2 linked regions of the Anolis sagrei genome follow. Each later gene encodes a partner of the first gene's protein in a complex. Links are inferred from orthologs where the notes say so. Each region holds a gene or a part of one and is shown on either strand. Other genes may lie near its edges. The genes, in order: NCOA5 and ESR2.

Evidence for each region.
Region 2: the proteins of NCOA5 (region 1) and ESR2 are in contact, whole or in part, in a crystal structure (PDB 4ZI1), measured with the Homo sapiens proteins. The link is inferred for Anolis sagrei from reciprocal best matches to the Homo sapiens genes NCOA5 and ESR2. Residues at the interface, in NP_066018.1 of Homo sapiens: Ser344, Leu345, Ile346, Leu348, Leu349, Ala350, Asp351; in NP_001428.1 of Homo sapiens: Ile310, Lys314, Phe319, Leu324, Gln327, Val328, Leu331, Glu332, Leu490, Glu493, Met494.

The regions. Positions count from the first base shown.
Region 1 is NC_090024.1:248,049,154-248,061,769, forward strand, and holds the start of NCOA5 (nuclear receptor coactivator 5), read left to right. Parts: upstream 1-7,350; 5' UTR 7,351-7,446; intron 7,447-12,616. UniProt on the Homo sapiens protein: Nuclear receptor coregulator that can have both coactivator and corepressor functions.
Region 2 is NC_090021.1:330,448,876-330,460,851, reverse strand, and holds the start of ESR2 (estrogen receptor beta), read right to left. Parts: upstream 4,918-11,976; 5' UTR 4,658-4,917; intron 1-4,657.

The sequences.
Region 1 (12,616 bases):
AACACAAACAGACCTCACAACCTCTGACCGTGTTGCCCGAGAGTCGCCTGGATACTCCACTGCCACCCTTTGGCCTCCAAGACAGAGATTTGGGGGGGGGGGGCAGGTGAGGGTCTTGTTTGGGGGTGAACAGGCAAGGAGTGGGTGTGAAAAGGATCTAGGAGTGTTGAACATAAGCCAACAGCGTGATGCGGGAGCTAAAAATGCCAACACAATCCTAGACTGCACTGTCACAACCTCTGACGATGCCTGCCACAGATGCAGGTGAAACATCTGGAGAGAATGCTTCTAGAGCAGTGGTTCTCAACCTGGGGGTCGCGACCCCCAGAGGGGTCATTTGGCAATTCTCGAGGGGTCACGGCCCTGCCTCCTGAGGCCCCACCTCCATGTGTCATCCTCAGGGTGCTGGTGAAGTTCAGAAGGCTCTTTGATCGAAGGGGAACTATAAATCCACCCAACTGCAACTCCCAAATACCAGGGTCTATTTTCTCCAAATTCCACCCGTGTTCAAATTTGGGAATATTGAGCATTTGTGCCAAATTTGGTCCAGACCCATAGTTGTTTGGGTTCATAGTGCTCTCCAGATGTAGGTGAACTACAACTCCCAAACTCAAGATCAATGCCCACCAAACCCTTCCAGTATCTTATGTTGGCCATGTTCTACGTCTCTCATCAATCCCTGTCAATTCCTCACAACCCCCTCCAGTATTTTCTTTTGGTAATGGGGGTTCCGTGTGTCGGGTTTGGCCCATGTATGTTATTTGTGGGGGTCTCAGTGGTCTGTGGAAGTCAGAGCTGAGTCAGTTGAAGGTACTGCAGATCCCATCATCCATTGTCCACACTCCTCCAAACATTAATTAATTTTGCATTAATTATGTTCCAATTTGTAATGAAAATACATCCTGCATATCAGATATTTCCATTATGATTCATAATAGTATCAGTTATGAAGTAGCGATGGAAATATGGTTGGGGGTCACCACAACACAAGGAACTGGATTTAGGGGTCACGGCATTAGGAAGGTTGAGAACCACTGTTCTAGAGGGAGGGAGAGGGACAAAGGCAGGTCTTGCTGGTGTCTCTGTCCGGGCAGCCATTGCAGGGAGGCTGAGGGGGTGGGGCCAAAGGAGGTGGCGTCATGACCCCTTGGAAACAGCCAATCGACCCTTCTGGGGGTCGTGACCCCCGGGTTGAGAACCACTGTTCTAGAACATGGCCATACAGTCTGAGAAACCTACAACAACCCAGTTTTAATGCAAAGCGCATGCGTGTTGTGTTCTTCTACTGGTGAGCCCGAGCACGGCAGGGAGCCCCGCCTTCACATTGGTGTGAGCTGCAGCGGAGAGTTCCGCAGTTCCTGGACCAAGTTTTGGGGACCAACAGATGAAATGTGCCCCAGCAGCCAGCTCAAAACCAGGAATGCCTGCAGCTTTCTTTTGCTTTCCCCTTCTCCTTACATTGTATCATTTCCCTAATAAAGCACTTGAAACTTGCAACATTTAATCTTTCCGCTTGATACTTTTGTATCTTTTCCTGCCTCAGACTAATTCAACATTAAAATAACCCTTTTTCCAGGCTCTGAAGAGCCGTGAGCCTGCTGGGGGGCGCCCACTGCCCCCCCCTGGACCCTGGATCTGCGTTCGGAAGAATCGCGGATACGGAAACCGCCATTTTGGACCCCAGTACCCACTAAAACAGTAAAATGGCGGATTGACGCCGTTCAAATTTTGTATTTTTCTGCTCTTAATTCTAAGACTAACTGCCATCATGTTTTCCTCATTTTGGACTCCTGCGCTCGGGGAATAATCATTTTGTTTAAAGTATTTTACTTTGACAGAAATCAGCTGTTTGTCAATTTGGCCGGGTTCTTCCAAGACAGCCCGTTTCTCCTCAGCGCTGCTCGCTCCCTGCCTGGATCCAGCAACCGGGGACCCACTGCGGCCACCCGCAGGAGACCCCGGGAAGGCAGCCAGGCACGGGTCCCGGTCTCTGACCTGGGAGACATAGTTTTCCAAAGGACAGACAAGGACACTGCCCCACCATTGCAACCCGGAAATCCTCCTTGGACTCTTTTTGCCCTCTCCTATTGACTTTCTGCTCCACGTCCCGGACTGTTTTCTGCCATATCTTTGGACACAAACCTTCAGATCAGGCTTGCCCTGAAGAGCAAGCAGCCTCCGTTTCCGTGTGCCTTCACCAGGAGACCATGAATTTATTTCAAATAATAGAAAAACGAGCTGTTTTAATAAACTTTGCTGGGGATGGGGATGGGATTGCCTTATGAAATATATGAAATGTATGTAATGAAATATCATATAGAATGTGCTGTGTTTCCCCTTCCCGCCTTTCCCTTTGACCCTTGCCCCATAAAGATGTGACCTGGGGATTACTGTCTTGAAGAGGAACTCCTTTGTCCTCCCAAAACTCTTCCCGATTGTTTCATTTGCATGGACCATACTGTTGTTTCCCCCCAACCCTGGCCCTCAGAGCAGACCAGCGAGGGGAGGGGGTCAGCAGGAACTCGGAAACAAAGACTGATTTAATCAACCAGGTATTGTTGATCCCCCTTTGAGGTCCGATACCGAAAAAGCCTTTTCATATTTCTTCCCAAATCCCATCAACAGACCAGGAAACTCATTGTTCCTCTATCTGACACCCCGCCAAGTGAGGACAAAGCCACACATTCCAGCTGGCGGATGCCCCTAAGCTGATCATTTCCTCAGCCATTGTTGGCTTCGTCCCGCCTCCTAGCTGCCGATTGGTCCATCTTCAGAGGCGCTAGGAAGGCACTGATTGGCCTCCCAGAGGCAGCGGAGCCCGCTGATTGGTCCGGAGGCGAGGCGTGCTGCCAAGCCTCCTCCCAGCTGTTCCGTGGCCAGCCAATCAGCACGAAGCCGGCTGACAGAGGGTGGGCGGGAGTTTTGAAACTGTTTTCCTTTGTCTGTGTACTATAAAAATGCTTGAAAATTATGCTTGCAGTGGAATGATTCCTGCAATGCATCTTATCTCAGCTGAATCACAAATAAACCTCGGTTGCTGAAAAACTTCTTCCACTTGGATGAGGCATTATTATTTGTAATATTTTTTACTCTTTGGATTGGCTCTCGCTAGCCTCACCAAAGGTCCAGGGCCCTTTTGAGCGGTCCTCAGGGATCTCCTCCGCCGGGAGACCCTACAAAAAGCAGCTCGATATCACTGGCACCTGGTTCTGACAAGGCCAGACCGTAGTGCCCTGTTCTCCACTTTTAAAGTAAGATCCTTCTGTCTTCAAGTTGGAGGGATTTTCTGAGATAACAAAGGACCGCAACTGCCAGCTGGGATGCGAGCAATTGTGTGGTGTCAGTGGGTGGGAAGCAGAGGAGCAACCACTCCTGAGGAGGAAACAGCAGGGATGATGGTCAGTGGGGCCTCTTGACCTCCACAATCTGGCCCGTTCTGCCATGCTCTGGTCTGGTCTGGTCTCTAGGCCTTGAGGGACCTGGAGGGTCAGAGGAAGGAAGCTGGCCCAGAGCGTGCATGTATGAGAAGCGAGATCCAGATTGGATTACTGCAATGCGCTCTACGTGGGGCTGCCCTTGAAGACGGCTCAGAAGCTCCAACTGGTCCAATGATCGGCAGCCAGGATGCTAATGGGGGCCCCTTACAGAGAGAGGTCAACCCTCCTGTTTAAGGAACTCCACTGGCTGCCGTTCATATTCCGAGCCCAATTCAAGGTGCAGGTGCTTACCTACAAAGCCCTGAACGGTTTGGGACCAGCCTACCTGCGTGACCGCATCTCCATCTACGAACCCACGCGTTCTCTTCGGTCATCTGGAGAGGCCCTGCTCGTGATCCCACCTGCGTCGCAAGCGCGTTTGGTGGGGACGCGGGGCAGGGCCTTTTCCGTAGTGGCCCCCCAACTCTGGAACACCCTCCCCAAAGACCTTAGACAGGCCCCCTCATTGGCTATCTTCAGAAAGAACTTAAAAACTTGGCTTTTCCGATGCGCCTTCCCAGATTAGGAAATCTCCACTACCGAGTCCTACAAGCACTTTACCAGAACTGATTGATGCACATTGCACATCGCACTTGCCCTAGAAGCCCTTTATACACCTCCTGTCACATCAGCACTTTTAACGCTTGTACCCACCTTTTGGCCCGGCCCAGTTTTACTGTGTTTTAATGTATTTTGCTTGTTGTTTATTTTTGCTTTGTTTTACTTGCTTGATTTGCGTGTTTATATTGTTATGTTGTATTGTTGCGGCCTCGGCCTGTTGTAAGCCGCATCGAATCCTCCGGGAGATGCTAGTGGGGTACAAATAAAGTTTAATTATAATAAATAATAATCTAGAATGAGATCAGAGGTGCCTTCAAGGGGATTCCCAGGGAATCATAGAATCCAAGAGTTGGAAGAGACCTCATGGGCCATCCAGTCCAACCCCATTCTGCCAAGAAGCAGGAATATTGCATTCAAATCACCCCTGACAGATGGCCATCCAGCCTCTGCTTAAAAGCTTCCAAAGAAGGAGCCTCCACCACACTCCCTCTGGGGCAGAGAGTTCCACTGCTGAACGGCTCTCCCAGTCAGGAAGTTCTTCCTCATGTTCAGGTGGAATCTCCTCTCTTGTAGTTTGAAGCCATTGTTCCATTGCGTCCTAGTCTCCAAGGAAGCAGAAAAGAAGCTTGCTCCCTCCTCCCTGTGGCTTCCTCTCACATATTTATACATGGCCCTCATCATATCTCCTCTCAGCCTTCTTTTCCTCAGGCTAAACATGCCCAGCTCCTTAAGCCGCTCCTCATAGGGCTTGTTCTCCAGATCCTTGATCATTTGAGTCTCCCTCCTCTGGACACATTCCAGCTTAGAGTCAATATCTCTCTTGAAGTGTGGTGCCCAGAATTGGACACAATATTCCAGATGTGGTCTAACCAAAGCAGAATAGAGCATGGAGAGCATTACTTCCTTAGATCTAGACACTATCCTCCTATTGATGCAGTTGGACTACTCACCTTGCCCAGGGGGAGCGGGCGTCACGGCAGAGGAGGCCAGGAGAGCGAGGAGGATGATGATGATGAAGCCGGTTGAGGACTTCATGGTGAGGCAAGACCAGTGAAGCTCCAGCTCTGCCACCTCCTGCCTTTATATCCCCTTCCAAGAGAAACTGGGCAACCGAACTCCTGGCGCTCAGCAGGGAACAAAGCACAAAGCCTGCCTTGTGAAGTGACCTTTGTGGCTGGAAACACGGATGAGCCAACCAACGGATGCCAACAGGATCCACGGGGAATGACACAAGGAAGAAGGCTTCCCATCCAAGAACTGGAGAAGGGCAAGGCCCGCAGGTCATGCCAGGGCAGTTCCAGAGGGAATTCTAGGGTTTAGTAGGCATTGACCTTGAGTGTGGGAGTTGTAGTTCCCCTACATCCAGAGAAGACTATGGACTCAAACAATGATGGATCTAGACCAAAACTTGGCATGAATATCCCATATGCCCAAATATGAACATAGATTGAGTTTGGGAGAAATAGACCTTGACATTTGGGAGTTGTAGCTACTGGGATTTATAGTTCACCTATAATCAAAGGGTGTTCTGGACTCCACCAACGACAGAATTGGGCCGAACTTCCCACACAGAACCCCCATGACCAACAGAAAATACTTAAGGCCATTCAGTCCAACTCCCTTCACCAGGGCAAGAAAACATAATCAAAGCCCTCCTGACAAAGACCCATCCAGCCATAGATAAATAGATAGATAGATAGATAGATAGCTTGCAGTGTTTGGGGAAAGGGAGCAAGATTGAGACATCAACCAGCTGCAACTCATGGTGAGCAGGGGACTTTCCACTGGAAGGAAGGAGGCACCTTTGGGAGAATTATCTGAATTATCATTGGTTCATGTAGGAACCAATGATACTGCTAGGCATACTTTTTGAAAGATCACAAATGATTTTCGAGCTCTCGGAACAAAGCTAAAACAATGTAATGTACAGGTGGTCTTTTCATCCCTCCTCCCAGTCGTAAAACACGGTCCTACAAGGGCCAGAAAAATAGTACAGGTCAATGACTGGCTTAGAAAATGGTGTCAATAATAATAATAATAATAATAATAATAATAAAGCGAAGGCTGGATGGCCATCTGGCAGGGGTGCTTTGATGGTGCTTTTCCTGCAGGAAGGCAGAAGGGGGTTGGACTAGATGGCCTTTAGTGGTCCCTCCCAATTCTTATTATCTATCTATAATAATAAAGAGTAGTAGCAATAATAATACTGATAATAATAATAGTAATAAAGCGGAGGCTGGATGGCCATCTGGCAGGGGTGCTTTGGTTGTGCTTTTCCTGCAGGAAGGCAGAAGGGGGTTGGACTAGATGGCCTTTAGAGGTCCCTCCCAACTCTTATTATCTATCCATAGTAATAAAGAGTAGTACCAATAATAATAATAATACTAAAGCGGAGGCTGGATGGCCATCTGCCAGGGGTTCTTTGATTGTACTTTTCCTGCAGGAAGGTAGAAGGGGGTTGGACTAGATGGCCTTTAGAGGTCTCCCCCAACTCTTATTATCTATCTATAATAATAAAGAGTAGTACCAATAATAATAATAATAATAATAATAATAATAATGTAATAAAGCGGAGGCTGGATGGCCATCTGGCAGGGGTGCTTTGATTGTGCTTTTCCTGCAGGAAGGCAGAAGGGGGTTGGACTAGATGGCCTTTAGAGGTCCCTCCCAACTCTTATTATCTATCTATAATAATAAAGAGTAGTAGCAATAATAATAATATTAATAATAATAATAATAATAATGATAATAATAATAATAATAATAATAACGCAGAGGCTGGATGGCCATCTGCCAGGGGTGCTTTGATTGTGCTTTTCCTGCAGGAAGGCAGAAGGGGGTTGGACTAGATGGCCTTTGGAGGTCCCTCCCAACTCTTATTATCTATCTATAATAATAAAGAGTAGTAGCAATAATAATAGTAATAATACTAAAGCGGAGGCTGGATGGCCATCTGGCAGGGGTTCTTTGATTGTACTTTTCCTGCAGGAAGGTAGAAGGGGGTTGGACTAGATGGCCTTTAGAGGTCTCCCCCAACTCTTATTATCTATCTATAATAATAAAGAGTAGTACCAATAATAATAATAATAATAGTAATAATACTAAAGCGGAGGCTGGATGGCCATCTGGCAGGGGTGCTTTGATTATGCTTTTCCTGCAGGAAGTCAGAAGGGGGTTGAACTAGATGGCATCCCGCTAGCCACGCCCCCGACTGGTGATTGGCCGGAGCTTGCAGAGGCCGGAATTCCGATTGGAGAAGCGGCGGAGCCACGCCCCTCCGCGAGCAGCCAATCACCGCTCGGCGTGGGCGCCTGCGCTTTGAGACAGAACGAGAGCGAGCGAAGCCGTGGTTTCCGTTGGGCGCCCTTTTGTCTTCGTCGCTGGTGAGAGACCCGCGCAGGCCTCCTCGGTGAGTGCAGGGCCGCGGAGGGGAAAGCGGGAGGCCGGGGCAAAGGGGCTTTCCCCGTCGGTTACTTGGCCGGGCCGGGCGAATTCTCTTTCTGAGGCGAGAGTGCGCGCGCAACTCCTCCTACCCCTCCCCCACACACGCCGAGCTGTGCGCATGCGCGAGAGCGGACGGCCATGTTGCGCATGCGCGTCGGCGGCGGAGCGGCAAGGGCTGGGCTCGGTTCCTTTCTGCGCCTGCGCAGTGGTTGGCGCGACAAGGAAGGCACCCGCGTCCCCTCCTGATGACGCACTTCCCTATATCTATCTATATATAAATGCTCTGTGCATAATGAGTGCCTTAAAAACAAAAGAACCAATGAACGAAATCACACCAAATTTGGCAACAAAACGTCTCACTACACAAGGAGTGACCATCACTCAAAACATTATGAGTTTATCATTTGGGAGTTGTAGTTGCTGGGATTTATAGTTCACCCACAATCAAAGAGCATTCTGAACTCCACCAATGACAGAATTGGGGCAAACTTCCCACACAGAACCCCCATGAGCAACAGAAAATACTGAAAGGATTTAGTGGGCATTGACCTTGAGTTTGGGAGTTGTAGTTCACCTATATCCAGAGAGCACTGTGGACTCAAACAATGATGGATCTGGACATGAATACTCAACGCACCCAAATATGAACACAGATGGAGTTTGGGGGAAATAGACCCTGACATTTGGGAGTTGTAGTTACTGAGATTCACAGTTCACCTACAATCAAAGAGCATTCAGAACCCCACGAATGACAGAATCGGGGCAGACTTCCCACACAGAACCCTTATGACGATCAGAAAATACTTAAGGCCACCCAATCCAACTCCCTTCATCGGGGCAAGAAAACGTAATCAAAGCCCTCCTGACAAAGAGCCATCCAGCCATAGATATAGATAGAAATATATGATTCACAGACACACACATATATGTATGTGACAGATGCAGTATCATAGATTTCAAAGGGACCTCTAAAGAAGTACAATTATATGTTGCATGTTCCAGAGTAGGCAAACCAGACACTCTCCACATCAACACTGACAAAGAAACAGCAAGAAATACTGTTTACCCACAAGCAGAAAGAAATTACATATATTGGAAACAAACACTTTCACATTATTTTATTTCCCAGATCAACAGACTGGGCCACAGCAACGCCTGGCAGGGGACAGCTAGTAAACACTATTATGTCAAAATTTGAAAAATGTTCTGTCCCTGGTTTGAAAGTGTGATTTCCTGTTTCATGGTGCGGACCTTGCTTTGAAAATAGTTGCTCTACTCCAGGAACTTGGTTGATTTTGTGGCTGCCACAAACTGGGTTGAAGTAAATTCAGACTCTAATAATAATAATAATAATAATCAGACCTCTGAGGATGCTTGCCATAGATGCAGGCGAAACGTCAGGAGAAATGCCTCTAGAACATGGCCATATAGCCCGAAAAAACCCACAAGAACTGAATAATAATAATAGTTTTGTTGTTCATTCGTTCAGTCATCTCCGACTCTTCGTGACCTCATGGACCAGGAAATAGTGACATTTATCACCCAGGAACAAAAATCACAGTGTCACACCGTGTAATCTATTACAATTATAATTATATAAAAACATAATATATTTATGTAATATATTTATTGTATAATAATATAGTAATGATAAGTAATATATTGTATATACAATGAGGAGAGATGGGTAAGGAATAAAATTATTGTTAGCTACTACAACAAACTACAAAACTAAAACAGACAAAACACACCTATTATTAATCTTATTATGTTTATTAATACCCCGCTTTCTCGCTACAAAAGAGACTCAAAGCAGCTTACAATAAAACTAAATGCAATACAATTTAAAACATAAAAATATAAAAACATTGAAATAGTATTAAATATTAATTGTGCTAAAAATAGTCAAAATCCTTAAAAAATGAATAAAAACATGTTCAAAGCTAAAACCCATAGCACTCCCTGGCTTGTTTAAAAGCCTGCCTGAATAAAAAGATTTTATTCAGGTAGACTTGCACAAACTCCGCTAACAAACAGACAGCCAAGGAAATAATTTTATAAAACTCCTCCTCACAATCTGATTATTTTTATCCCTTATTATTCTATTCCCTATGCCATGTTTTAACTTTGAGGTTTTTCTATACATTGTAACTGTATTCTCAATTTGCTTTTGACAAGTTAAATAAAAATAAATTTCTCTTTAGATGCTAATATATAATTACATTTCTACTTCTGGTAGAAATTCATTAATCCTATAGTTGGCATTTCCTCCCATCATTATTATGAAAATGAGCAAGTCCCAATATTTGAGCAAAAAATTCTCCATAATCAGCATAGTCGGACTCTCCATTTTGGGGATATCACAGATATTTATCCACCATTTGTCTTGTGTTGGGAAAGCGGGTTCCTTCACCTGAGGATTTGCTTCAAAGAGAACATTGTCCACCAACAGGATCCTGTTGAAGGTTGTTTATATTGCTTTACATGTTCATATTTACAATTGTTTTTAGCTATATTTTATTTTAGTCAGATTGGTCATTATTACATCTTGGAGTGGTGATATTACAATTATATTAAACTGGTTGCCAGTTACGTTTCTGAACAAAGTACAGAGAACTCTTGATTCTTACCTTTGAAGACCTGCATGGTCTGAGCCCAGTATCCCCTCCTCCCATATAATCCACCTCAGGGAGATGGTTACTCCACTCAGCTGGATGCACTGCCTGAATTTAAAATAGCAAGAAAGATTGTCTCTTCCAACAGATGGTATTTAAAGGATGAATTTAGATAATGAATTTAAACTATGGATCAATTGTTTGCCTATATATTGATCTTGCACGCTCTTATGTTCATGTTATCCATATTTTTAACTGGTGGTATGTAAGGTAGTTTAATGCAGTGTTATTCCCCACGTTATCTGTGTAGACAGGCAGTTAAGAAATAGCAGTAGTAGTAATACACATCCATACATGCACCTATGATGTGACCTACTTTGAATTCCTTTTTCCAGAGAAGCTGATGAGGCAGGTTGGCTGACCTTGATGCTGATAGTGGTGCTGCCCATAAAGGGGGGGGGGGGCATGGTAGGACTGGGTAAGATGCTACGAGCGTTGCATTCGTTCATAACAAATGATTTTTTGGTTCCAACAAAGCAGGGACCCTCAATGCAGAGGCAGAAGGCTCCACCCTCTATGAGCATGCCAAGGGCAAAAGTTCCATCCTTTTCTGGGCCAAGTCCTAAGGCACATCTGAACCTCTTTTTTTTTTGCAGAATTATTTATTTATTATTATTATTAACAACATTTGTTTACCGCTTTTCTCACCCCTGGGGGGGGACTCAAAGCGGTTTAAAACATAATAAATGGCAAATTCACATTTATATTAAAATATCACATATCTAAATCAATAACATAACTGCAGATAAAAAACTAAACTATAAAAACATCAAACATAGACATAAGCATGAAACATATTATTGCTGCAATTAGTAATGTAGGCCCTGTCCCTTCCTCTCCCCCCCCCCCCCCCAAGGAGATATGGTCAGCATAGCCTCAAAATGGCTTCACTGGGATTATGCCTGGTGACCCAGGATCCCTTCCCATATTTTCAAGGGCCAGCTCTCTTCCCAAGCTTAGCCTTGAAAGAGTTTGGAGAGAGATAAGCTCATATTCTTCTCTGATAGTTCCTTGGTCTCACTCCTCCACTGTGGAGGTGGGATTTAGCAAAGACTGGGTGCCACAGAGAGTAGCCTTTTCCAGAGAGTGCTGTTAGGCAGGAGGCAGAAAGGTCTAGGGCTGTGGTTTGGATAGATAAACTGGAAATGGAAGCCACTGATATTGTAGCAGATTAAAGGCGGTTGGATTTTAAATTTGCTGTTCAGCTGTTTTGAAAGAGAAATTATATTTTGTTTGACTTTGTATGCTTTGGAAAACTTGGATCAATACATGCTATAAATAAATGATATCAAGGTTTGTGTTGTCATGCAGGAAACACTAAAACATGGTTGTAGAGCAGTGGTTCTCAACCTGGGGTCCCCAGATGTTTTTGGCCTACAACTCCCAGAAATCCTTGCCAGTTTACCAGCTGTTAGGATTTCTGGGAATTGAAGACCAAAAACATCTGGGGACCCCAGGTTGAGAACCACTGTTGTAGAGAGTAAAATCCCAGTGGTGTCTGTGCAGCAGAATTCTTGCACCCTGAGCCTCCCTTAATGTTCTCAGTGAACACTGTAGGTCTTTGTAGTGCACCATAAAGTACGACTACATTAGACAGTGACATTAGATGGGTTTGCAGAATATAGATGTTGCCTTTGGCCAGTAGAACAGGTCTACTCTGCTTATAGGCTCTTCACATGGATTTAAGTATTTATCACACTATTTAACTATTTTATCACACGGATTTAACTACTTTATTTATTTATTTATTTATTTATTTGCTGTATTTATATCCGGCTCTCTCTCACCCCAAGGGAATCTCAGAGCAGCATACAACATGGCAGTGTTCAATGCCGCATACACAATCAAATGAAACCCAAAACATCGTATACATAAAACAAATAAAAATATAAATAACGTAAAACTGTTAAAAACATTGGTTGCTTGTACCATTATGTTATTGATCATGCTGTGAAATAAACCATATCAGAAACTGTTTTTGCACTTCTTTCCCAATCTTCCCATTCTATTTATTTATTTACGGTATTTGTATACCGCCTTTCTCAGCCTGAAGGCGATTCAAGGCGGTTTACAGTCGGCAACAATTCAATGCAGACATAAAAATACAGTTAAAACCATTTAGCATATAATATAAAAAAAAATCAGCGTCTCCTCACCAAACTCGTTTTCCAGTCGCATCGTCAAGTCGTTCCATAGTTCCATATTTGCCTGTTATGCTGCATTTGCGAAAGCTTATACTGGTGGAAGGAGCGTTTCTTTCCTTATAGACTTCTGCCTTCAGCCTGGGCTCTTGTCTTTGCCACTTGTGGATTGTCACGGTGGGTTAATCCCAGCTCTCTTTATCTGGAAGCTGTGCCATCACAGCAACACCTTCTTTCAAGGATACATTACCCAGGATACTTCCCTAGTATCTTTCAGAATAGAATGTGGTGCTCTTTGCACAATGTGGACAATACGCTC
Region 2 (11,976 bases), on another chromosome or scaffold:
CACCATAAAACCTTCCAGCAGTGTTGGTAAAAATGAGGAAGTACTCCATCAAGGACTCGGTGTCAAAAGTGGAAGGTGCAGCAACAGCTCCCCCTGTGGTCTAATCGAGCATACCCTCATGAAGCCAGAAAGCTAGAATGTTAAATTATCTGTCTATATATGTTGTATGTCTAATGGCATTGAATGCTTGCCATGTGTATGTGCATTGTACTCCTCCCTGAGTCCCCTGTGGGGTGAGAAAGGCAGAATATAAATACTGTAAATAAATAAATAAATAAATTTGTTGTTATTATTGTTGCCTTCAAGATGTTTCCAACTTGTGAATGTACAGCCAGGGATTTTTCTGGATCTGTGACTCACTTAAAGTCATACAATGGGTTTCCGTGGTCAAGCAGGGAATCGAACTCTGGTCTCTGGAGTCATAGTCCAACGCTCAATCGATCATACCATGCTGGCTCTTGGATATAGATATAGGTACATGCAAACGGGTTGGAAAAAAGGACCCTCTTTTCCTTTAAATCCTAAAAACATGTATACAATGATCAAGGGATCCAACTGAAGGGAGTAGATTGTGATACACAGAGGAAGCAAGGATCCCCACAATCAGTGGAAACCACCTTTTGTGAGCAAAACAATTATACTAACAGAAGGCAAATTCTAGAGCTAGTCCCATGTGCATGATTCACTTGGAGTGTACTCTTTTGAATAAAATGCAAAAGGACCTTGTAGCATGATCCTGCATCAGATGTAGTGACTGAAGTCTACAAAAGCATCTGCTACCAACTACTGTCTCTCAGTACGCTGCTGTGAGTTTTCCAGGCTGTATGGCTATGTTCCAGAAGCATTCTCTCAGAATACAGAAACAAAAATTACATCAGAGGTAATTACAGTAGCCAGGCATGTAGCCCGGGGGGGGGGGGGGGAGGCTTGGGGGGCTTCACCCCCCCCCCGAAATTCTCATGGTGGTTCGCGAAGAGGCCTTACTGGTGCATTATTTAAACTGTTATGTTTATTCATATCATGATCTGATCACCATACTCAATATATCCCATATGCATGGGGGTATTGGGGTAACGATGCAAAAGGTTTGCTAGGCTAGACCCTGGGCAGGCCAAATGGACAAGATAAAATGATAAAATAATAAAAACCCTGGGTGAGGTAGGAATAAAAATATGTAAGTGAGGGGAGCCCAATACTGATAAGAACAGTGGGGCAAGGCTTTCAGTTTAGGACAGGGGGAAAGTGCATCATAGAGGCGAAGAGAGTGGGACTATGATTTCCCTCAGTCTAGACCAGGCATGGGCAAACTTAATCCCTCCAGGTGTTTTGGACTTCAACTCCCAAAATTCCTAACATCCTCAGGTTCCTTCCTTTTCTGCTCAGCCACTTAAGGGCTGAGGCCGGTTGAATTCCAGACAAGGATCAATCAGGTCCAGCTAACAGCTAACACTTCCCAGCAAAAGATCCCCCAGGCAGCAACCAGCCAGACTTTGAAGCTACAAGGCCATTACACTCTAATCAAGGTGTCCAATTGCAACATTCACACAAGCAGTCAAGAGTTCTTTCTCCCTTCCTGGACATTCCACAGACATACAAACCTCATTTGCCTAGTTTCCAACTTTTTTTTTTAATTGTGTCAGGAGCGACTTGAGAAACTGCAAGTCGCTTCCGGTGTGAGAGAATTGGCCATCTGCAAGGACGTTGCCCAGGGGACGCCCGGATGATTTCATGTTTTTATCATCCTTGTGGTAGGCTTCTCTCATGTCCCCGCATGAGAAGCTGGAGTTGATATAGGGAGCTCATCCGCCTCTCCCCGGATTCAAACCTGCGACCTGTCCTGCCGGCACAGGGGTTTAACCCACTGTGCCACCGGGGGCTCCCTGATCTCACAACCTATGAGGATGCCTGCCATAGATGTGGGAGAAACATCAGGAGATAATGCTTCTGGAACATGGCCAAGCAGCCCAGAAAACTCACAGCAACCCAGTGATTCCAGCCATGAAAGCTTTCGACAACACATTCTTTCTCGCAGTCTCAAAGGTGCCAAAAGATCCCTTTGCATACTTATAATTGTAGTCTCAATTATAAGTATGCAAATGGATCTTTTGGCACCTTTGAGACTGAGAGAAAGAATGTGTTGTCGATATGGCTATGACTCTGAATCCTACTGTCATTGGATAAGGATGAAACAAATGTTTAAATCTCTCATTAACATCAGTGGAATTTAGTGGAAACATTTCTGTGCCCATTCAAATAAAAGCCATTGAGATCAACAAAGTTTTTTCCAGATAACCACATATAGGATTGCTACGCTTAATGCTTAATACTGGATGGCTCATGGACAACTATCCATTACTACAGGTTATCAGTTCGATAGAGAAGCATCAGAAATTAAAAGGGCATGAATAGATGACAACATTCATAATTAAGCAAGTAATTATATTAATCTCTTTTCATGCCATTCCTAAGAAGGGAGACTGTAGACACATACCAAGAAATATCTGTGGCTCATGCTAAAATCTTCAAGATTTCCAAGAAATAAATCCCACAGGATGCAAGGGGGTTTGTTTCCGAGTACATAGTTTGGACTCTCTCCTTCACAGAGCTGACAATAACACAGGACTAAAAAACAACACAAGACATTGACTGCCTCAGTTCCTCGGGGCTTAGGGTGGACCCAGTTTGACTAGCTGCCCAATCTCTCCAGTTTCTCCATCACTTTGGCCAGTGTTTTCAAACACTTCTGCCATTATCACACAATCTTCTCTGGGGGTTGGGACCCCTGGGGGAGGGTTGCAAGTGGGGTGCCAGAGGGGTCACCAAAGACCATCAGAAAACACAATATTTTCTGTTGGTTTCGGGGGGTTCTGTGTGGGAAGTTTGGCCCAATTCTATCATTGGTAGGGTTCAGAATTCTCTTTGATTGTGGGTGAACTATAAATCCCAGCAACTACAACTCCCAAATGTCAAGGTCTATTTCCCCCAAAATCCACCAGTGTTCACATTTGGGCATATTGAGTATTCGTGCCAAGTTTGGTCCAGACCCACCATTGTTTGAGTTCACAGTGCTCTCTGGATTTAGGTGAACTACAACTCCAAAATTCAAGGTCAATGCTCACCAAACCCTTCCAGTATGTTCCGTTGCTCATGGGAGTTCTGTGTGACAAGTTTGGTTCAGTTCAATCATTGGTGGAGTTCAGAATGCTCTTTGATGGTAGGTGAACTATAAATCCCAGCAATGACAACTCCCAAATGCCAAGGTATATTTCCCCAAACTCCACCAATATTCATATTTGGGCATATTGAGTATTTGGCTTCAAACTACAAGAAAGGAGATTCCATCTGAACATGAGGAAGAACTTCCTGACTGCGAGAGCCGTTCAGCAGTGGAACTCTCTGCCCTGGAGTGTGGTGGAGGCTCCTTCTTTGGAAGCTTGTAAACAGAGGCTGGATGGCCATCTGTCAGGGGTGCTTTGAATGCAATATTCCTGCTTCTTGGCAGGGGGTTGGACTGGATGGCCCACGAGGTCTCTTCCAACTCTATGATTCTATGCTAAGTTTGGTCTGGATCCATTATTATTTGAGTCCACAGTGCTCTCTGGATGTAGGTGAACTACAACTCCAAAACTCAAGCTCAATGCCCACCAACCCCTTCCAGTATTTCCTATTGGTCATGGGAGTTCTGTGTGCCAACATTGGTTCAATTCCATCGTTGGTGGAGTTCATTTGATTGTAGGTTAACTATAAATCCCAGCAACTACAACTCCCAAATGACAAAATCAATCCTCCCCAACCCAGTATTCAAATTTGGACATATCAGATATTTGTGCCAAATTTGGTCCAGTGAAGGAAAATACATCCTGCATATCAGATATTTATATTATTATTCATAACAATAGCAAATTTACAGTTATGAAGTAGTAATGAAAATAATGTTATGGTTGAGGGTCACCACAACATGAGGGACTGGATTATCATAGAATCAAAGAGTTGGAAGAGACCTCATGGGCCATCCAGTCTAACCCCCTGCCAAGAAGCAGGAATATTGCATTCAAATCACCCCTGACAGATGGCCATCCAGCCTCTGTTTAAAAGCTTCCAAAGAAGGAGCCTCCACCACATTAGAAAGGTTGAGAACCACTGTCTTACTACTTCATCACACTAGAGAATGAATCCACTTTAAATCCGGTTTCTGCCTCCTGCAGAATTCTGGGGTTTGTAGTTTAGGGAGGACCCTTTAGGAGCCTCACAAAACTACAAACTCCAGAATTCTGCAGGAGGCAGAAACCGGATTTAAAGTGGATTCATTCTCTAGTGTGATGAATTGGTTAGAGGAAAATAAATCACACTCACGCCCAGCAGTCCCAAGAATGGTAGAGTTGGAAAGGACCCCAAGGGTCATCTAGTCCAACCCCTTGTAGACCAGTCAATCAAGAAACAAACTTCTTCTAGGATTCCTTTCCAGCAACTCTCCAGAGAGCAGACTTCCAAAAGCAGAGGAAAGGTCCCTTTCCGCTTTTATATATATATAAAAAAATCAATCCATGTACTATTTGATTCCAAAATGGACCTCCATTCCTCATGATCTCCAAGGGGTCTTTTCCACTCCATTAGAGTGGCCAGTTCATTCACAGACATTTCCACAGCAAGGACTTACCGGAGAGCTTTGGAGTGCGCAGTCGAGGAGGCGCATCAGGATGCCTCCTCAGCTTCTCTTCTTTCGCCTCTTCCTGGCTTTTTCCACCCTCGAAAGGCACTCTGGCTCTGGGGACAAGTCGTGGCTGGTGCCTCCTTAGTGTCTTTCCAAAGCCCTACAGCCTTGGAAGGATCCGCGACCATCACACGCGCGTCCGCAACCCACGCGCGTGTTTTTTCGCCATCCCTCCCAGCCAAGGCAGGAGTTTGCTGTAAGTAAGTTCCTCCTCCTTCTCTTCCTCCTCCTCTTTGCCGTAATAAATTGGAGAAGCTGGCGTGAGTCACTCACTCCCTGGCAGTGCCAGCTCCCATGCCCAAGAGGAGGACTCTCCTCTGGTGACCACAAGCAGGCAGGAAAGGAAGGAAGGAGGGACCAGCCAGCCGCCCAGATAGGTGATCATCCTCATGGCGGGAGAGCACTCCAGGCTCACCTTGGCCACCTCTTCCTTGCCCACTGGGGACTTTCAAGTCTCCTGTCAACTGGTGGCCACCCCAGGAATGTAATCTTATTTTCTCATTTTCTTTTATAAATATGTATTACAGTTTTTCTTTAGAACATAGAGTCAAACAGAAAAAAGAATGAAGGAAATAAAGGGAATTGAAAAATAAATCAAAAAGAAGGAATCATAGAATCATAGAATCAAAGAGTTGGAAGAGACCTCATGGGCCATCCAGTCCAACCCCTTGCCAAGAAGCAGGAATATTGCATTCAAATCACCCCTGACAGATGGCCATCCAGCACCTGTTTAAAAGCTTCCAAAAAAGGAGCCTCCACCATACACCGGGGCAGAGAGTTCCAACTGCTGAATGACTCTCACAGTCAGGAAATTCTTCCTCATGTTCAGATGGAATCTCCTCTCATGTAGTTTGAAGCCATTGCTCCGCGTCCTAGTCTCCAAGGAAGCAGAAAACAAGCTTGCTCCCTCCTCCCTGTGGCTTCCTCTCACATATTTATACATGGCTATCATGTCTCCTCTCAGCCTTCTCTTCTTCAGGCTAAACATGCTTAACTTGTTTAACTTGTTGTCCACGAGGACTCCAAGATCTTTTTCACACGTACTGCTCTCGAGCCAGGCGTCCCCCATTCTGTATCTTTGCATTTCGTTTTTCCTGCCAAAGTGGAGTATCTTGCATTTGTCACTGTTAAACTTCATTTTGTTAGTTTTGGCCCATCTCTCTAATCTGTCAAGATCGTTTTGAATCCTACTCCTGTCCTCTGGAGTATTGGCTATCCCTCCCAATTTGGTGTCGTCTGCAAACTTGATGATCCTGCCTTCTAGCCCTTCATCTAAGTCATTAATAAAGATGTTGAACAGGACCGGGCCCAGGACGGACCCCTGTGGCACTCCACTCGTCACTTCTTTCCAAGATGAAGAGGAAGCGTTAGTGAGCGCTCTCTGGGTTCGTCCATTTAACCAATTACAGATCCAAAGAAGGGGATCACACAATGAAGAAGAAAAGGGGGGGGGGGACACAAGATACATTACATCTGCATTAAAGTAAAATTAAGATACATTTACATGTAAATACAAATTTATTTGTTTATTTATTTACTATATTTATCTACGGCTCTTCTTAGCCCTTAGGCGACTCTGAGCGGTTAGCAATAGCAAAACAGCGCCCCTTACTAGATCTTAAACACCTTCATGTTTCAAAGCCTGTCTGAATACAAAGGTTTTGATGTGTACATAATATCCTACTCCTAACCAACAATGTGTTGCAACTTATATCTCATTTTTCAGATATTTTGGATTTGGAATCAATTGAGTAGTGTGACTGTCTGCATGTCCAACATTCAAATAACTACATCACTTTGTTCTGAGACCATTCAGCCATGGAAACCCATTGATTAACCTCGGGCAAGTCATTCTCTCTCAACCTCAGAGGAATGCAGAGGCAAACTAGCTCTGAACAAACCTTGGCAAGAAAATTCTGTGAGAGGCTTGCCTTTGGGTCGCTGTAAGTTGGCAATGCGTTGGAGGCACACAACAATACTAGCACATATGATCCTGGCAATTGTAGATGTGGATATTGTGCAGGAGGGGGGAGAACTCCCTGTACCTTTTAGTTGTGGTTGTGTCGTTATAATTTCTAACACATTAAAGAAACTAAAATACAGAAAATGGGAACAGTTTGACTTGCTCAGACGAAGAAGGTGGAAGGCTCCAGACGATGATCTTTGGTATTAGAATGGAGGGAGTCCTAAGTACACAAGAGTGCCTGTAATATTTTCCTCAGCACTGACACATATGGTGTTATCTGCTTTCCAACACAGTGTTTGCTGCCCACCCTGTTCTTCTGACACAAATGAAATCACAACTACACACAAGCAGCCCCCAAAATGTTCAGAATCCTAGAGGAGAAACTAAAACATTGTATGAAAAGCGTCTGTACGCCCAGCAAAGGCAGATTGTTTAGTTCCTTTTATTAATTTCTGTACAGGCAGCTGATTATTTTCTTATTTTTCAAGGAAAATATGCGATACTTGCATGTTTGTTCAAACAAATTTACAGATACCTTTCTTCCATTTCTTGTCATTTGACAAAATAACACAATGTGGATGGAATGAGGATATCATAGAATCATAGAGTTAGAAGAGACCCCAAGATTAGCCTCTACTTCAATGTCTATCCAAAGCCAAGGCATTTATTTCAACAGCTTTTGAGAATAGGTTCTTGTGGGTTTTTTCGGGCTATAGGGCCATGTTCTAGAGGCATTTTCTCCTGACGTTTCGCCTGCATCTATGGCACGCATCCTCAGAGGTAGTGAGGTCTGTTGGAATTAGGACAATGGGTTTATATATCTGTGGAATGGCTGGGGTGGGGCAAAGAGCTCTTCTCTGCTGGAGCTAGGTGTGAATGTTTCAACTGACCACCTTCATTAGCATTTGAAGGCCTGGCTGAGCCTGGGAAAATCTTTTGCTGAGAGGTGTTAAGATGTCCCTGCTTGCTTCCTCTCTGTTGTTGTGCTGTTGTAATTTTAGAGCTTTTTAATACTGGTAGCCAGATTTTGTTCATTTTCATGGTCTCTTCCTTTCTGTTGAAATTGTCCACATGCTTGTGGATTTCAATGGCTTCTCTGTGTAGTCTGACATGGTGGTTGTTGGAGTGGTCCAGCATTTCTGTGTTCTCAAATAATATGCTGTGTCCAGGCTGGTTCATCAGGTGCTCTGCTATGGCTGACTTCTCTGGTTGAAGTAGTCTGCAGTGCCTTTCATGTTCCTTGATCCGTGTCTGGTCAATGCTGCGTTTGGTGGTCCCTCTGTAGACTTGTCCACAGCTGCATGGTATACAGTAGACTCCTGCAGAGGTGAGAGGATCCCTCTTGTCTTTTGCTGAACGTAGCATTTGTTGGATTTTCTTGGTGGGTCTGTAAGTGGTTTGCATGTTGTGTTTCCTCATCAGCTTCCCTATGCGGTCAGTGGTTCCCTTGATGTATGGCAGGAACACTTTTCCTCTGGGTGGATCTTCATCTTTACTCTCGTGGCTTGTTCTTGGTCTTGCAGCTCTTCTGATGTCTGCGGTGGAGTATCCATTGGCCTGGAGAGCCCAGCTTTTGAGAATATTTTTTTAAGAAACACCTTTTTGTAGCATTCTGTACAGTCTTCAATTGTGTTATCTTCAAATGTCTTTTCATTAACTTTTAAATAAGTGCTTCCAAGTTTGGTTTTAGTGTTATTCATAGTTTCATTCCAACATGATGTCAGCCTTTTGTAGAAAATCATAGAATTGGAAGAGACCACAAGGGCCATCTAGTTTAACCCCCTACTATGCAGGAGCACACAATCAAAGCACCCCCTACAGATGGCCATTCTTCTCTTTAAAAAAAATCTCCATAGAAGACTCTACTATGTTCCGAAGCAGCATATTCCATAGCCAAAAGGTTCTTATAGTATCATAGAATCAAAGAGTTGGAAGAGACCTCATGGGCCATCCAGTCCAATCCCCTGCCAAGAAGCAGGAATATTGTATTCAAATCACCCCTGACAGATGGCCATCCAGCCCCTGTTTAAAAGCTTCCAAAGAAGGAGCCTCCACCACACTCCGGGGCAGAGAGTTCCACTGCTGAACGGCTCTCACAGTCAGGAAGTTCTTCCTCATGTTCAGATGGAATCTCCTCTCTTGTAGTTTGAAGCCATTGTTCCGCGTCCTAGTCTCCAAGGAAGCAGAAAACAAGCTTGCTCCCTCCTCCCTGTGGCTTCCTCTCACATATTTATACATGGCTATCATATCTCCTCTCAGCCTTCTCTTCTTCAGGCTAAACATGCCCAGCTCCTTAAGCCGCTCCTCATAGGGCTTGTTCTCCAGACCCTTGATCATTTTAGTTGCTCTCCTCTGGACACACTCCAGCTTGTCAATATCTCTCTTGAATTGTGGTGCCCAGAATTGGACACAATATTCCAGGTGTGATCTAACCAGAGCAGAATAGAGGGGTAGCATTACTTCCCTAGATCTAGACACTATGCTCCTATTAATGCAGGCCAAAATCCCATTGGCTTTTTTTGCCACCACATCACATTCTTACTAATGTATAGTTGGACTCTTTTTTCCTGCAGTTTGAAACCATGTCTCCAAAGTAGTCACATATTTAAACATGTCTATCATGTCCTCTCTCAGCGGAAGCTCACCCTGAGAGATATTCAGGGTTTAACCCTATTTAAGATATAAGGTCCTACATTTCAAACAGGGTCTTTGAAACTGGGACTAACATATGCCACTGTCTTACTGACATGAAAGCAACCAGCTGCCACTGAGGCCCATCTCCACTGCCATATATTGCAGTTTCAGAATGCAGTTTAACTACATGAACTAGATTTTATGGCAGTGTTGACTCATATAATCCAGTTCTTAGAATCATAGAATCATAGAAAGGGAGGAGACATGTGCTATCCAGTCCAACTCCCTGCCAAGAAGCAGGAAATTTGCAATCAAATGACCCCCGAAACTGCATTGTGTCGCAGTGCAAATTCAGTCTTAGTCTCAATCTACACTGCCATACAATGCAGTTTGAAAATGCATTCTATGGCCAGTGCAATTCAGTGAAGACTGGCAACCCTATCAGGAAATTTTGAAAAGAAAATCGGAAGCAAGATTGCTGTTACAATTCTTCTTCGCATTGGTGATCACTGGATGGAGAGGGTTCTAAGTCCTGGGAGACATCTACACTCTCAAATTAATGCAGTTTGGTGACAGTTGAACTGCTATGGCTCAATGCTATATAAGCCTGGTGTAGTGATTTCAGCCAGAACCGCGGTTAGCGAGTCTGTGCCCGGAAAGCGTATGCTAAACCAAATAAGCCAGGACAGAGAAACAACTCAGCAGGTTGAAGACAAAATGATGTTACTGAAAAGGGTGTATTTAAAGTCAACCTGCCACATGGCGAACATCAGGACAAAGCTTTTAAAAGGAAAATAAAACACATGTCATATTCCTGAATAAAACTAAATGGTCATAAATGGATGGCTTCTCCCCCTAGGAAAAGGGTGAGAGTACATTAGCAAGAGAGGGAAGACTGGCAGGATATTGTCCATCCTCCACTCTGAATCATGCAGGTTTTTAAATCTGAAGCTTGCAACCAATAAACAGTCTGTCCCCACTGTGACAGTTTTGCAAATGGTAATTATAGAGCAAAAATGATATGCTGGGAATAATAATAATAATTTTTGTCTCTGTGTAAAATAATGCTCCATTTTGTAGAGTCCAGTTTGGAGTGGTTATAGTCTCCCAACTCAGGAAAAAATGTTGGCTTTCCTTTCACTGTACCCTTTCTGCCTTCTTCCATTTCAGTCAGGATTATTGTCAGATTATTTTCTTCAGGAATGTCTTTGCAATTCGCTAGCTGTATTTATTATTGTTGTTGTTGTTATTATTATTATTATTATTATTTATTTATTTATTTTATTTACTTTACTTATATACAGCTGTTCTCAGCCCGAAGGCGACTCACAGCGGTTCACAACAAATAAGAACAGCAAAAATTCAATGCTACAGTGTAAAAACAGTTAACAACCTAACAGTTAACAACCTATTATTATTATTATTATTATTATTATTATTATTTGTAATACTGCATTCATAACATTACAGATCTGGGCCCAAAAAGTGTGGTTCTTTTTGTTCAAACTCCTTAATTATTTTGAGTAATGAAGGGATTGTGTGCCACGTGTGATCCAGATCCAACAAGCCATGGAGGAACCTTTGTGGTACAAACAGACAAGCCAACATACATACAAACTTTGACATTATATATAGATATAAGTATAGATATATAGATATAACGCAGCCTGCATATGTTTGTTCTTGCAAAACTCAAAAAGTAGTCGGTCGATTGACTTAACATTTTGACACAACTTTGCATTCCAAGCCCCCATGACCCACTTTACCTCCTGGTGCGGTTTGGGGGAGGATGGACCACGGATTTTGTATTTTACAGTAATAGCAGACAGAGCGGCTTTGGTGCAAAGGGCAGATTCTCATGAGAATGTTTCTGTCAGGCCTTGGGAGAAAGGTTTACTCCCTCTGCCTGTGAGCTCGCCAGATTCTAATTGGGAAAACAGTCTGACACCTGGTAAAGTTAATGAGGAGGCAGATAAGCAGAGTCGGTGGCTGGAAATTGGCCAGAATCGACAAGAGGCCCAATGTTTACGTAGATCCAAAAGAATTCGTCAGTTAAAGTCAAAGACTGGAGGAAAACGAAACCAGTTTTTTGGGATTTAAGGTTTGCCTTTAGAGAATCTTGTCAGATCAGGCATCATTTGGAAACCAAGTACAAGCCTCATGGAATACCTGTTCAAGTGGTCTCATTTTCATGGTTTTTTCTAGCCTTTCAAGTTGACTAGCAGTGTCCGGTCTGTTCTTGCTTCGTGTTTGATTCCTGTCTGGATAATTATTGCCTTAGATTGTATTTTCATGCTTTTTGGACATTGCTTTTGATTACTACATTTGGACACTGTTTTATCTTTCTGCTTTTGAATTCCTTACTGCTTTTTGGAAACTTATCTGTCTTTGCAAGCATTTATTTCTACTGGCTTTTTTGCTCAGCTTTAATAAAAAGGATTGTTCCTTCACTCAGTGTGTGGTGTGTTTATAGTCAGAGGTGCTATTTCTTGTTCTGGAGTGCAACAATAACCCACTTCATATCCTGGTGCCAATAGGGGAGACGATGGATCATGGATGATGGCATTTGCAGTATCTTGGCCAAGTTATACAATGCTGCACAATTAGTAGTTAAAAAATTGATGAGCAATCTAATTGAAGCAACAATTTAAAATGGACCTCATAA